Linked DNA regions of Oryctolagus cuniculus. The protein of the gene in region 2 purifies or fractionates together with the protein of the main gene of each other region. This does not show direct contact. Links are inferred from orthologs where the notes say so. Each region holds a gene or a part of one and is shown on either strand. Other genes may lie near its edges.

Region 1 (7,654 bases), on a different chromosome or scaffold from region 2:
TGCACCCATGTGGGAGACCCGGAAGAAGCTCCTGTATCCTGGCTCCTGGCTTCAGATCGCCACAGCTCTGGCTGTTGAGGCCAATTGGAGAGTGAATCAGCAGATGGAAGATCTCTCTCTCTCGCTCGCTCTCTCTCTCTCTCTCTGCCTCTCCTCTGTGTAACTTTCAAATAAATAAGTAAATCTTAAAAACAAAAACAAAAACAGGGCCCTCTTGGTAAAGAAGAAACTTCAAGGCGGTGACGGCAGAGCCTTAAACTGAACGGAGGCCCTTCTTGGCGCAGGACTCTGCCCATGCAGGTCACAGGCCCAAGAGGGCAGCCTCGCCTGTGGCCCACAGGGGAGCAGCCGTGGCCTTCTAGCAGGGCGTGGGTGTAACTGGAGGTGGACCTCAGGAAGGTTATTCGGGCGGGATGGGTTGGAGGGAGTCTGGGCAGGGAGACTGGTTAGGCAGCTTTGTGCAGAGCTGGTGAGGACGAGGCGGGTGGGAGCCGAAGAGCAGAAGACCCAGGGAGAGAGGAGTAGGGAGCACACGGGAGGAAGAGTTTACTACAGGACAGCACAGGCCAGGGGAGGCTCTGAACGCCCCCCTCCTTTGCTCTCCAATCCCCTCCCCTGCCTTTCCAGTCTTAAGAGACTGGCAGGCCCAGGAAGCAGCACTGTGTCTCCCTTTGGCCACCAGAGGGCAGATGGTTCTCGTAGATTTTTTGGGGGCTGAATTTGGGGCAGGGGGAAGTGGCATGCCTGGTGGGTCCTCTTCCTCTTTTCCTCCTCAGGTGCGCGTTCACCAACGTCTTTCTCAGTGGTTTGGGGCCTGAATGGAGCCGGGCTGTGCCCTGCAAAGATGCCTGGAGTCCTGGCAGCATCCTAAGACTGCAGGTGGCACCTGTGGCCTTAGGGAGACTTCCACAGGCCTCTCTGCTTCTCTGATTGGCACCACCAGCTGCGAGCTGGAAGTCAAGGGCCAGAGGTCCAGGCAGCACTTTGCCCATAACCGCTGGGACCTCTTGCCTAAGCCTGATCTCGCTCCTAGGGGGCCTCTGGCTGCTGCCCACTTTGAGCCGCCGTTGAGCCCTGGGGCAGGAGAGAGGCAAATTCCAACACGTCCCGGGTGCCATGAGTGGGGACGGCTTGGAGCTGGAGAGATGAGCCCGGGCTGCTGCATCTCCTGGGTGAGACAGTCGAGGAGGAAGTAAAAGTGCACGGAGGTTACTACACGGACTTCCTGTTTGAGTCAGGGGCTCGTGAATCCAGCGACCCCACTCTACGGATGGGGAGACTGAGGCCCACAGGAAGGAAGAAAAGCTACTTCTGTACAGGCCTGTTCTCTGTGTCACTCATCCGGGAGAACTGTCATTTTCAGCGGGGTCCTCTCCCTTTCCCCCCAGTTTCTTTGTCTTAGATACAGTGACGTGGGAATGAAGGGAAGGCCTGGGGCACGCGTTTAGGCTAGCATGGAAGATGCCAGCCGTGACACCTGGGTTCCGTATCGGAGTGGGCATCGGGGTCCAGTGCCCAGGTCCTGCTCCTAACTCCAGCTTCCTGCTAATGTAGACCTGGGGAGGCAGCCGCCATGGCTCAGGTACCGGGGTCTCCTCCACCCACGCCACCCACATCGGAGATCTGGATGGAGTTCCCAACTCCCAGCTTCAGCCTGACTGGGCCGTTGTAGACTATGGGCAAGTAAGTCTTAGTGGATGAAGGCCCTTCCCAACTCCTACACCTAGCCGCTCAAATAAGTGAATAAAAGCTCATGGAAAATGCACACTTTTTAAAAAATATTTCATTATTTATTTGAAAGGGAGAGTTACAGAGAGAGAGAGAAAGAGAGATTGATCTTCCATCTGCTGGTTCCCTCCCCAGATGTTTGCAACTGCCAGGGCTGGGCCAGGGCCGAAGCCAGGAGTCCAGAGCTGCTTCTGGGTCTCCCACGTGGGAATGCATGCTATGTTTATTTTTTAAAATTTCATTTTATTTCAAAGGCAGAGAGACGGAGGAGAATCCCTACAACAGCCAGGGCTAGGCCAGTCAGAAGCCTGGAGTCCGGAACTCAATCCTGGGGTCTCCCATGTGGGTGGCAGGGACACAGGTGTTTGAGCCATCACTTGCTGCCTCCCAGGGTGTGGATGAGGAGGAAGCTGGATTGGAAGCAGAGTAGCGGGGGCTTGAGCCCGGCCAGTCAGGGACGGGATGCGGGCGTCCCACGTCGACCTTACCGCTAGAAAAGGTGCATTGTTTTTTAAAAGAAAAAAAGATGAGACGATCTCTCCTGCCTTACCTGGCAGGGGCACTTAAAGTCATCTCTGGGATAAATCCGTTCGGTGGAGGGGACAGGAGCCTAAGCTCAGAGATGGCAGGTGGGTTTCCCAGGATCGCAGAGCTGGGGCTGCAAGGCAGGCCCTGGGCGTTCCCGCAGCGGAGTGTGTCGGACGCTGACCTGGTCCCTTGCCGACCTGCGGACCAGGTGCGGCCATTCACAGACAGGAGAGCCCGTGGCAGGTGGTGGGCGGGAGGCAGGTAGGTAATAGACTGACGTTGCGTTTGTCAGGTGACACATGTTGACGGCCTGTGGTGCGGGATAAACAGAAGATGGATTTTATGAGATAACCGACAGGGGGACGAACAGACACGCAGCAGGAAGCTGCTCCAGGTCCAAAGTACACCGGCCACAGGGATGGATGGCTAACAGCCTCGTCCTCTTTTTAGTCAAATAACAACACGCACGGGGACCCACGCGTCCCGTCCAAGGTTTGAAAATACCCGAAAACTGACGGAAAGAAACGAAGAGCCAGGCTCTGGGAACCCCGGGGGGGAAATGACCGCGGACTCGGCGGGCTTCGGGTGTTGCCGGAAATGGCCGACTGCCGCCCTCGGCCGCTCAGCAGGACGGGGGCGTGGCCGGCTCCGCACGCGGAGCCTCTTCGGGTGTTTCCGGAAACTGCCGAAAGCCGGCTTGACGTGGGCGGGGAAAGGGCGGTGGGCGTGGCTTGGGCGGCTCAGGAGGGCCCGGAGCCGCTTCGTAGATTTCCGTAAACAGAGCCGAAGCTCGGTCTTCGGAATCGAGGAGGTGCGCGCGTCTCCGGGGATTACCTTCTTCGGCTGTTTCCGGAATTGACCCGTAGACCCCGGCCGAGAGGAGAAGGCGCGCCCCCCTCCCGTTCCTAAGCGCTTCGGATGTTTCCGGCTGCCGCCGGCGGAAAGAGCCGAGGGCCGGCGGTGGTGGCGGCCATGTTGGGAGCAGCAGGTCCGGCGGCGGCTGCCTGTGTGCCGGGCGCGGAGCAGTGCCGCTGAGGGCAGGGGAGGAGCGAGGCAGGCGGCCGGCTGCGGCGGCAGAGAGTAGGCGGAGCGGCGCAGCCCGGCCGAAAGGCGGCACAGCCCAGCCGGGGGTCGGGGGGGTGCGGTCCGGAGCCGCTCGGAGCCGGCGCGGCCTAGCCCGAGCGGCGCATCCCCGGGCTGGCGTGAGCGGCTGCCCGGCCTCCCCGCACCCCCGGCCGGGGCCCATGCGGCGGGCGCTCCTGCTGTGAGAAGCCCCGCCCGGCCGGGCTCCGCGCCTTCCCTTCCCTCCCTTACTCCGAGCTTCTCGGTTCCCTCCCCTGAGATACCGGCGCCATGTCCAGCGCCCGGACCCCCCTACCCACGCTGAACGAGAGGGACACGGAGCAGGTAAGGAGCCCCGAGGGCTCCCCGGATTCTCTGGCTGGGCCCCTGCACCTTGCGGAGCCTCCTCCCTCCTCTGCTCTCCTCGTGCCCCGGCTGCCCTGTCATCCGGCCCTGCACATCCCCCTTCCGAGTCCTGACCCGGGACCCACCTTGAACTGACTCCAGGCTGCACACTTGTCGCCCTGCCAACCCCCCTCCGCCCCTCGCCGCCCTCCTGCGCTCTTCCGTGTTAACCTCCTCAGCTTCCCCTCTCTTCCCTTTTTCTCTCTGGGCCCTCTCTGGTCTTCTTCCACCCACGCTTCGAGCAGCACCCCGCGCCTGGCCACAGATCGTCGGCCACCTCTCCCTCCGCCCGCGCCGGCTCTCCCGGTCCCTGCTGACGACCCGCAGGGTCCTCGCCCGGGAGGGTGTTCGCCGCGAGCCCTGTCCGCTTGCGGCTGCCCAGCTGTGTCCGCCCCGCTTCGTCCTCAGCCCCGCGTGCTCGCTGTTGCCCGCAGCCCACCAGCTCCACCCTCATCCCCTTTCCGGATCGCTCGCCTACTCTTTGCTCATCACTTTCCCGTCTTTTCCCCGGGAGCTCCCCGGCTCCTGGCGCTGCCCGTGTCGCTTCCGTGTTTCCCAGCTGTCATGCGCGCAGTTTGCCCACAGGTTGCTCTGGGGTTCCTGTCCTCCCTGCCTTCGGAGCCCTGGGGGCCCCTCGTGCTCTCCTCCCCCAGGGTTCGGTTCCCAAGCCCCTGCGCCTCCTGCTCGGCGCCCTGCGTGCCCCGCCGGCCTTTGCCCTGGCCGCGGCCCGCACCCCGCGGGACGGTCGCTCGCTGTTTCCGCCCTGTGTATTCACACAACCTGTTGCTCACTTCTCTCCCGGGCCTCTGCGGCGCGCACCCGGACGCTCGGTGCCTGTCACTCCCTGCTCACTGCCTTGCTGCCCCCTTGGCTTCGCCTCGCCTCCTCTCCGTGCCTCCCCGCGGGGTTTGCTCCTCTCCTGCCGTCTTCAGGTCCTGCGGACAGCCCCCGCCCCCGTGTGCTGCTGTGCCGTCCCTGCTCCCTTCCCGTTGCTCTGTAATTCCCAGCAAGTGCTTGCCCTATGCCGCAGCCTCCCGACCCTACAAGCTGCCCCCATCCTGGCCGCACTCCCGTGGGGCGTCAGCCAAGCCGTGGCCTGTGCTGTGTGCTCTCACTGGCTGTCCCCTCCCTGGCTGCTGGGACCCTTGCTGAGGGCCCTGCCGGGGGACGCCCTGCCTTACCTCTCAGAGAACTTTCCTGGGCCCAGACAGCAGGGCCTGGCAAAGGCGCCCTCCTGCCCGGGGGCTGCACTGCGTTGGATCCTCCGCCCTCCCTCCTCTGCGCCCCTCCTGTCCCCTTTCCTTCGTGGTCGCTGGGGTAGAGCTGTTGCAGTGTTTTCATTCTCTCTGGTTGACCTGCTCCGACAGACCCTCCCCCGTGTCCTTTACTCCGTGTGGCTGTTCTGTGAGCCTCTGCTGCCTGTCACCTGCACAGTTAGGAACCCGGCAGTTCTGGACGGAGTTTTTCTCGGTGGCGGCTGGCCCTTTTCTTGTGCACGGGTTGTTTGTTTCTGGGGTGCAGGGGCATTGAGAGGGAGGGATGGGCCTGACAGCTGACTCCGTGTGGGGCAGAGTCTGGAAACGGGGAGCTTGGTCTGTGGCCCGCAGTGGTCCTTGCCCTCGCTTGCCAGCTGTTTCTCCGTTCGGGGAGCCACTCTCTGCCCTCTTGAGGCTGCTTGTTCCGTCCTTTTTTCTCTCGCAGCCTTGGTGTTGGCAGGTGGGCCCTGCTTAGCTGGATAACTTTCCGAGACTGTTGATTGGGAGCTGGAAGGAGGGGCTGAGGGCCTAACCGGCACCCCAGGCGTCTGTGGAGTGGCGCGGAGTGCCTCCTGCCCGGGAGGCCGTGGGACCTTGTGCGCACCGGCGTGGAGTCCCGGGCGGCCTCCGTGTGGTTTCTTTGTGCTGTTTACCAAATGTGGGTGTGCTGTCGCCGTGGCCTTGTGAGGTGCGCGTTGACTTCCTCTCATCCTGACACGCCGGGCTCAGGACAGCCGTGCCTGGGAACCATTTTGGAATGTGAGCTGCTCTGAATAACTGTCCGGAGCAGGGGCTGTGTGTGCTGTGGCTCTGCTCTCAAGTCTGGATTACTCATCCCCGTTTTACTCTCCTGGACTCGGGTTCCCCTGAGCCACTTGCGCGTAGTTCTCAGGGTGCCGGTCGCACACAGGGAAGCAGAGTCTTTGCAGAACCTTGGGTGACGCCTGTTCCAGGCAGGTGCTGTGCTCTTGAGAACAAGCAGAAAGACGAGCAGCAGCAGTGCTTCTGATCGCAAGGCCTTCCCCTAGAACAGATCATGCCGCCAAGTAAGGCAAGAGATCTCTTCTCGGTCCTGTGGACATTTCAGCTGAAGTGGCCGTGGAAGTGCAGCCTTTGAGTGGCCTCAGTGTTAGGAAACGGAAAGCAAGGCACTTGGTTGGACTGATTCCCTTGCCTGAAGGGTCCTGTGTCACCTTATTTAGAGTTAAATTATTTAAACTGTGGTTTCCCCAGAAAATCAGTAAATAAACTCCAGTGGTTGCCTCCAATCTCTTTTCTTGCTCTTCCTCTCGCACTTTCTTTAGAACTGTGGCTGATGAGAAGCTGATTCTGGGAGCCCTTTGATCACATCTGACGCACACACACACAGTGTTCAAGCATAGAAATCAGCCTTGTGTGGCAGGGGAGCTGCCAGCTCTGCTCCTGCAGTGAGAGTCGGAGATAAAACACAGGCAGGCCCTTTCCGTAGATGCTTGTGGCACTTGTTCTAGATGTGCTTTTCACAACGCAGACGTCTTCCTGTGGCAGAGCGAGGGTCTGGCCTGGGGCTGGTAGTTTTGGGGACTCTTGGTCTGCTAGTGGAGCTTTCTGTTCCCTTCTTTTCCAAGTGGCTTCGGCAGCCTGGCCTGGAGGCTTGGCAGTCCTGAAAGCAATCAGCAAGATGACTGTTTGTCTCCCCGCCAGCAGCGGTCCCCAGCAAGAGTGCAGAAGGGTCCAGCTTCCAGAGTTCACTTGCTGCTGGTAGAGCTTTCTGTAGCCCCAGGGGGAGGGGCTGCATGGCTTCAGAAACCATGAGAGAGGGCTGTGACTGCCCACGGAGGGGCTGCTGTCGCTTTTCTAGGGAGCAAATGGCATAAGGAGCTTGGGAGTGACAGTCACGGGAGCAAATCCAAGTCCCAGGGTCCTGTGAGGAAGAGCCACGCCGAGTGCGTGAGCTCGTCAGACCCTGCCATTGGTTCCGGCCAGATGTCGCACTGAGTGCTCGGTTGTTGGTGTCCTCCAAGGAAATGGGCTTAGGTAGCCCTGCGAGCCGTGCGGCACTGCCAGTGCTCTGGGCGCTGGCTCTCACTCGGACCTTTGGCCTGCCTGGGGCCCTTTGGTAGTGCTGCCTTCTGGTCAGGGATGTGGGTGAATGTGTCAAGCCATGAAGTCTCGCTCGGTCCTCGAGATTAGGGAAGGGGTATTGTTAAAGCAAGGGCTGGAGGAGTCCCGGTAGTCCTAACCTTTGAACCCGCAAAAGTAACCAGACCTAGTAAATTATAATAATTTCTCCCCTATCTGTGGACTTTGGGAAGGAGCTAAACAGAGAGAAGGCAGTCATTGAAACTTAGTGTGCTTCAGATTAAAATCAGATTTGTACAGGGATAACTGAATCTTCTAGACTGTGACTAAAGGTTGGACCAGAGCCTTTTTTTCTTTTTCTAAGCATAAACATCTTAAGCAGAGTTGATGCCTGTGAGGTAGACAAAGGCCGAGGATTTGTGTGCTTGAGAGGTTTGCATGGTTAGCTGTCTTGAGAATCAGAACTTCTCAGACGAAAGAGTTTCCCCTTTGGACAGAACAGCCCGATTCTCAGTGGGCGTCTAACCAGGATTGCCTGGGCCTCGTGAACTCTCACTGAGCACTTAGCCACCTGGCTGGCATCTCTCTTCTCTCTGAAGCTCCCATGACATTCC
Region 2 (6,872 bases):
CTGCGGAGAGGCGTCGGCAGTCTAGGACGCTGCTGTCTGCTGCCTCCTGCACCCACCCACCAGGAGTCCTGGCAGCCACACCTACCAGGCTGCATCCTTTGCAGAAAGATGAGAATCTGTCTGAAGCTCTGCTCCTCCCAGCTGAGCTGCACTGTTGGGTGACCCTATGTTGCCACGTGGCATTAACTCATTGCTGACCCACCTCTTACAGAGGCTTAGTGGTCCTCGATATCCAGTTTGGTCCAGCCAAGTTCTGTTTCTCTCCCTCCAAGTCACTGCGGGTTTCGGAAGCTGTGCACCGTGTTTGTGAACAGGCGCCTGATCATGGCGCCAGGGTTCAGTGAGGACATAGAGAAGGCCCAGCAGGAGGAGGGCGTCACTCAGCAAGGCCAGGCTGCGTGGGACCTGCCCCGAATCATGAGCTCCTGTCCCGGGGGATGCACTTCTCACAAAGCAGCACATGGAAGGGAGCTGCGGTCCTGGCCCGGGTTTGGGACGTCCCGTGGGAAGCAAAAGGGCCAAGGTGGGCAGGGGACAGCCGTGCCCTAACGAGGGAGCTGCGTACGAGACAGACTGGTCTCAACTCCCTCATTCAGCAGCTCACTGACTTTCAGAATGGTCCAGATACAACCACACGAAGCAGCTGGCAGTGTTTCTTATTCCCATTTGACAGATGAGAAAACAGAGGCCCAGAAACCTGCTTGAGATATTGAGCTGGTAGTGGACACAGCTGGGCGATAGCCCTGGACCAAAGTCCATGCCAGGACGGGTTCCAGTGCTGCAGCGCGTCCCTGCTAGGAACAGCTGAGTGCTGCAGTGTGACCCAAGGCTGGGAAACCCCAGGCAATGCTCACTCGAGCTGTGAGTGCACGTGGCTGCAGGTTTGCAGCAGCCCAAGCAGCCAGCGTTCTCAGAGGAAGACCCTGCGTGTGTGCGGCACAGGCTGACCAAGCACATGTGGTAAGAGCCCCATGAAGCCATTAGGTAAGCGTCCCCGGGGAGAATGGGAGCTGCCCAGTTTCACTTTTGGTACAAACCCAGGGAACAGCTTTGTCACAGTGAAGGAACGAGAGCACACAGAAGCTGACATGACACTGTGATAGTTGTCTGGCTCCACGTCCAAAGCCAGCGTTCAGAAAAATGACAAAAGCTTGCTGTGGGCACTCTCACTGGGAGGGCCGGGGTCCCCCTGCCGCTCCCTGCCCCGCCCACCCAGCACACCGGGTTCTGCTGGTTTCTGGGGGCCTGGCACCAGCATGGGTGTCGCCCTGTGGCATGTGGATCACCTCCCTGTCACCCCTCCGCACGGCCCACATTGCCTTCCCTCGGAGCGTGTGCTGGGCTGCCGCTTGCGCAGGTGGGCCTGGCCTCCCTAGGTAACGTGAGGACAGCAGGACTGTGCAGGGGGTTCTGGAAACCTTTTCTGTTTTTAGTGCAGCTGGCTGGAGGCGGTTTCTACATTTGTACATGACACGCTCCCTCCTCCAGGGCTAAGGGACACAGCTGCAAATTAGCGCAACCTGGGACTTGGCTGGGTGAGGCAACAGCCCTGCCACACCCCTTTCCAGTGAGGGGACCTTCAGCCTCGCTGTGTGGAGCCAAAGGCTCGGGCACTGCCTACCTGCATGCCTTTGTCAGCTTCACTTCCTCATCACCCCACCCTATGTTCTGCTGAACAAAGCTGTCGCTCACTTCCGGGTTACAAGCCCGGAAGTCTTGTCTCCTGGCCCCTGCTGTTCCCATGCCTCAGAGTTCAGTGGAAACATCCCCTGGGGGATTGAGGGGTACAGCTCTTCCCCGACCCAGTTCACGTGACTCCAGCCCAGCCAGCAGCCTAACAGCCAGGAGGGGACCTGCGCCGGCGGTTCAGTCCTTGGGGAGCACCTGTCTTTCCTTCCTGCATGGGGTGACCTGTATCCCTGAGCTGCCGTCTTACAGGACCACTGAGAGGCACCTGTCACTGGGTGTCCATGGGTTACCATGGCAACCGAGCCTGTGCAGGCTCCCAGGGTTCCCAAGGCAGGAGCGAGAGGACCTATCTGATTCTGCCAGCCTGCTGCAACAGGGGCTCCAAGCCCATGGGACAGGCACACAGGACAGAGGCAATGAAGACCCAACAGGAGCGTCTCCCCTGGACTAGGGGAGCTCCTGCTTGGGCTCAGCCCTTCTCTCTGCTTAGGGACAAGAGGCCGCTGAGGGCACATCCTCCTGCCACGCTCGCTGAGAGCCCTGGCCCAGGCAGGACGAGTCACACAGGCAGCCACATGCAAAAGGAGGGGCATGAGGGCCACGGCTGGGTCTGGGCGCTGACCTCGAGATTGAAGCAGCTCTGGCCTCCCGGCCTGTGGCTCCCAGCGTCGCCGTCGGCGTGCCGGTGCAGCTCCCGGGTGGCTCGCGGGCGCGGACTCTCGCGCTCGTCCCCTCGGTCCTGGCTGAACGGCCACTCCAGCTGGTCCCTCAGCTTGGACTGTTAGGTGCACGGGAGGGATTCGTTTGTTTGTTTTTAAACGAAATACAAAGGATGAGAGAGTCGGGTGGGGAGGGAGGATAAAGACACCGAGAGGAGTCAAGGCAGACGAGGGGCAGGACTGCCAGGCCGAGGGAAGCACGGGACAAGAGAAACCAACTTCAGAGAGCGGCGGACGCTTGCGCAGAGCGCACAGGCGCAGAATGAGGATGAGCGAGAGGAGAGGCCGCGGCATCTGCAGAGCCAGAGAAGGGGCAGGGGGCGCATGCAATGGCGATGCGTGAGTCCCAAGTCCACCGCGAGCACACCACCCGTGAAGGATACACGACACAAGGCTCTTCCTTCCTTACTTGTGGGTCGAGCAGCAAAGGCCACAATCCAGGGCCGGCAGCCGGGTCATGCACCCCAGGGTGAGGCACAGGAGAGCAGTCCTCGGAGGCCACTCCGCTCAGCCCCCACCTCGGCGACTTTCCATCAAAAACAGCCTTCTCGGGGGACCGTGCGCCTCTCCCCAGCCCGGCTTATCTTCCAGTGAGGGAGCGGGTGGGCCTGGCTGCCTAGGGGCTGTCCGAGCTGCACTGTGTCCCTTTGGTAACGACCCAAGGAGGGATTGGCGCGCTCATGAGTGAGTCTGCCACTTATCCTGACTGTGACAGGAGCTGGCACCTCGGCTGAGACTCCTCGTGGCTTCTTCACCGGGACGGCTGGTTGTGTGAGACACCAAGCAAGAAGCGAGGACGGACTGCGCCGAGCCCCTGACTCGGCTCGGCCTTGGTTCCCGGGGGCCGGGGCCTCTAGACCCCAAGCAGGGGTGCAGTTAAAAATAAGAGGAGAAAAAGGAAAAAGAAAACGAGGAAACGAGAAAGGGAACTTAAAAAAAAAAAACAAAAAAACAAAAAAGGAACCCTAACCCAGAGACTGGGTTGGGGGCGGACGCCGGAGGCTTTAGTGCAATGCAGCTTTGAAATCACAACCAAGCAGCCGTGAGCACCGCAAGCCCAAGAAGTGCAGCAATGCCAGCGAGAAGGAGGAAGGGCAAGGCACGGCAGGGAGGCGAGGCCAGGAGCCCCCTTACCTGCAAGTCTGGGCCCAGCTCCTTGCCCAGGTTCCCGATGGGGGAGTCCCGGGACACGGAGGTCACGGTCGAGAGGAAGCTGGACGACTCAGTGAGGTGGGACGAGGGGGACAGGCCATCCCCAATCCGAGTCACCTGCTCCAGGAAGGCTTGCAGCTCCTTCCTGAAAGCCTTCATCCTGGCATTGATGGCGCCCAGCAGGTGGGACTCCTTCTTGCCCCCCTCACCCTCGTCCTGACCCCCAGGCCCCCAGGGGGAGGCTGTGCCGCCGCCACCCGGCAGCCCTGCGTCGTGCAGGAAGCCATCGGTGTCTGTGATGAGGCGCTCCACGGTCCGCTCGAGCCGCTGTGCCTCCTGCTTTATGATCACCAGGCACTCGGAGTCCTCGCGGGCCCGCAGGAGCTCCGCCGGACATGGCTCGCTCACCTCCGAGGGCTTTCCACTCCCGAAGCCCGATGACTTCTCGAACGTCTCCTCCGAGTCGCTCTCCCCACCCACGGGCCCTTCCCGCTTGGGCTGGGACAGGCGGGCTTCCTCCCCATCGCTCTCCTTCTTGCCCAGGTCGCTCTCGGCATCGCTGTCGCGAGGGCTCGGGGCACGCAGCCCCAGGTGGGCTGCGAGGTCGCAGCGCTGGACATTGGACAGCAGCACCCGGTTCTCATACTGCAGCTTCAGCACCTTCCCGCTCAGCTCATTGATCTGCAGCCTGGCCGACTTGAGCTCTTCCTGCAGAGGGGCCCCGCCTCCGGGACCCTTGCCTGCGCTGTCCCCTAGCCACCCTGGCTCCTGGGGAGGCTCAAACTTGAACTTGCTCAGCTCGTGGGTCAACTGCCGGTTGTGGTCTTCAATCTCGGAGATGGACCTGCGCAGCAGCTCCGCTTCCTCCTCTACAAACTGCAGGTGCCGGCGAAGCTCCGTGGACGACTCCAGGGAGTCGCCAAAGGGTGAGATAGGAATGGCTGGCACGTGGTCCCGGCCCGCTCCCTCCCGCTCCTGCTGCACCCGCATGTCCTCCATCTCCGCCTTGAGGCCTCGGTTCTCCACCTCCAGCTCCACGATCTTCCGGCCCAAGATGTTGGCTTCTTCCTCCACCAGCTTCAGCCGCAGCTTCAGCTCGGCCTCCCTGGTGCTGGGGGGCCCACCGGCCTCCCCTGTGGGGAGGGGGCTGTCCACGTCGCCGTACAGGGCCTTGTACTTCTGCAGCTCCTGCTCCGCCTCGTCCTTCTCCCGCCCCAGCTTGGCCATCTTTTTGCGCATCAGGGAGGCTTCCTCTTTGGCAAACTGGAGCTGGCATTTCAGGTCGGCGCTGTCGTCCTGCCAGGAGAGAGAACAGCCCGGGAGGAGGTTACCGGAAGTACCAGGTGCTCCTGCAACAACTCCCCCTACTCCCTCACTGCCCCCACAGGTCCTCCCAACAGTGCCGAGAGCTGTGCGGAAAAGGTGGCCTCAACCAAGCAGGGCTGCGCCCAGGGGCTCCCCGGAAGGGACCGGGCAACGGCCTACAGTGCGTTGTTGTATCACAGAAACAAAGGAGAGCGAAAAATCAGTTTGGAACAAAACATGCACATTGAAGCTGTCATCTAGGTTACGGACAATGAGGGTGAAAATGGTACCTATGGGTGACGTGGTGAGCCCACGTTACTTTGTGGATCGTGTCTGGTTCATCGCTAGCACCCGTCACAGCGATGCCAGAATGCTTCCCGACGCCTGGTGTGGCAAGCAGGGCTCCGCCTGGGGCCACTCACTTCCTGCCAGGGCAGAGCCCTCACCCAACCACCAGGCACTCTCACGCCGGAGACGTCAGGTGACCCCAAACCAGAGCCTGGCTTTCGACTGATTTGCCCAGGTTCACCTCTCCCCTTCCCCACGGCATCAAGCACTGACATGAGGACAAATACATGAGTGACGGGTGCGAAGCTGCAGTCAGAACCAAGTGCCGACGCTCCGGACGTACGGGACACCGCCGCCCTGGGCTCCCACCCTCTCTCAGGCAGGGTGGCTCCAGGCAGAACCCGCACTTTTCTCCTTTCCCCGTTGCTGCAGTCACGCAGCGGGAGGCAGACTCAGAGCTCCAAGGCAAGGGCGAGCTGCCGGAGAGCACCTGGTGTTTCAGACCCTGTGAAGCAGGTGCCACGGCCAAGGGCCCACGCCGCTCGGCTGAGGTCCGGAAGGCACTCTGCTGTGCCAGCGTGGGTCTCCATGCTTTTACGAGGCACAAACTCTCTGTGCTGGTCCTTCCAATGATGCTCTACCATCCACACTCAGCAAGAGGGAAAAGACCGGTTTCACCAGTGGTTCCTCCTCGACTGGCTATCAGGTTTCGAAAGGCTGATGCCTGGGACCAGGACATCAGCCGAGGCTTCTTCCTCCATGGCAAAAGCGCTGTGGCCCGACAGCTCGGTGGGAGCCCCAGGGACGGAAGGGCCCTGCAGGTGGCCAGCCCTCTTGGAGAGCGCGGCCTCCTTCACACAGGTGAAGCTCCAATGGTCTGGTAGAGCCAATGAAGCTGCCACAGCAGGCAAACATGCACGGTTCACCCTCTGCCTGGAGGTTAGACGAAAACCTCCCTCGCTACTTCCCCAATTCCCTCCTTCCCGCTCACCTGGACCCCTTCCTCTCCACAAAGCCAGGGAAGGGGGAAGAATGATGAGACCAGAAAGACTCGGGGAAAACCCACAACCAAGCGTGCCAGGTACCATGCAGGAAGCACGCCCTGGCACTCTGTGTGCACCCTCTGCACCATGAAGCTCCCGCCACCATCCTCCAGGTGGAGTCTGATTAAACTGGTCCTGCTGGGCGTGGTATCAAACAGGCAGCCTGGCGTCCTAGCTTTGCCTGCAGCAAGGCACAAGAGCCCTAGAATCTGTCTCCTTATGTCTGAAGACCCTTGTTCAGGCAAGAGGTCATTGTGAAGGTTAAATGCAATAACGCACTGCAAGGCGGTGTGTAAACAGTAAACCACCACACCCCAGTACTCCGAAGCTGGATTCCTTCTTGGTCCAGAACACAATGAATATTGGCAGAAATGAGCCAGCAACTCTGCTTTTCCCTTCCTTTGCCTATTAGGGGAGTAACATGTAAATGCCACACGGTCTTCGAGTTCTGAGGATTTATCACATCAATGATTTGGTTTCTTTTTTGGTGAGGGAGACACAGTTACGGGATTTCTGTGAGTGGCCAGAGGAAGGTTCTCCCCCCCCTCACAACCACACAACAAGAATGGGTCATCAATGCCACTGGAGTAATCACACTTTTTTTTTTTAAACAACAAAAAAGAACTATGTATGAGCTGTAAAAGACAGATGTTGTGTTTAATCCTAATACTAAAGG

The links.
Region 1: the proteins of MTCL1 (region 2) and MARK2 purify together in Homo sapiens (affinity purification with mass spectrometry; 5 studies listed by BioGRID and IntAct, with this or other methods). This does not show direct contact. The link is inferred for Oryctolagus cuniculus from reciprocal best matches to the Homo sapiens genes MTCL1 and MARK2.

The regions. Positions count from the first base shown.
Region 1 is NC_091432.1:7,359,791-7,367,444, reverse strand, and holds the start of MARK2 (serine/threonine-protein kinase MARK2), read left to right. Parts: upstream 1-3,037; 5' UTR 3,038-3,609; coding exon 3,610-3,663; intron 3,664-7,654. UniProt on the Homo sapiens protein: Serine/threonine-protein kinase. Involved in cell polarity and microtubule dynamics regulation. Phosphorylates CRTC2/TORC2, DCX, HDAC7, KIF13B, MAP2, MAP4 and RAB11FIP2. Phosphorylates the microtubule-associated protein MAPT/TAU.
Region 2 is NC_091441.1:65,913,587-65,920,458, reverse strand, and holds part of MTCL1 (microtubule cross-linking factor 1), read right to left. Parts: intron 4,857-6,872; coding exon 3,543-4,856; intron 2,468-3,542; coding exon 2,312-2,467; intron 1-2,311. UniProt on the Homo sapiens protein: Microtubule-associated factor involved in the late phase of epithelial polarization and microtubule dynamics regulation.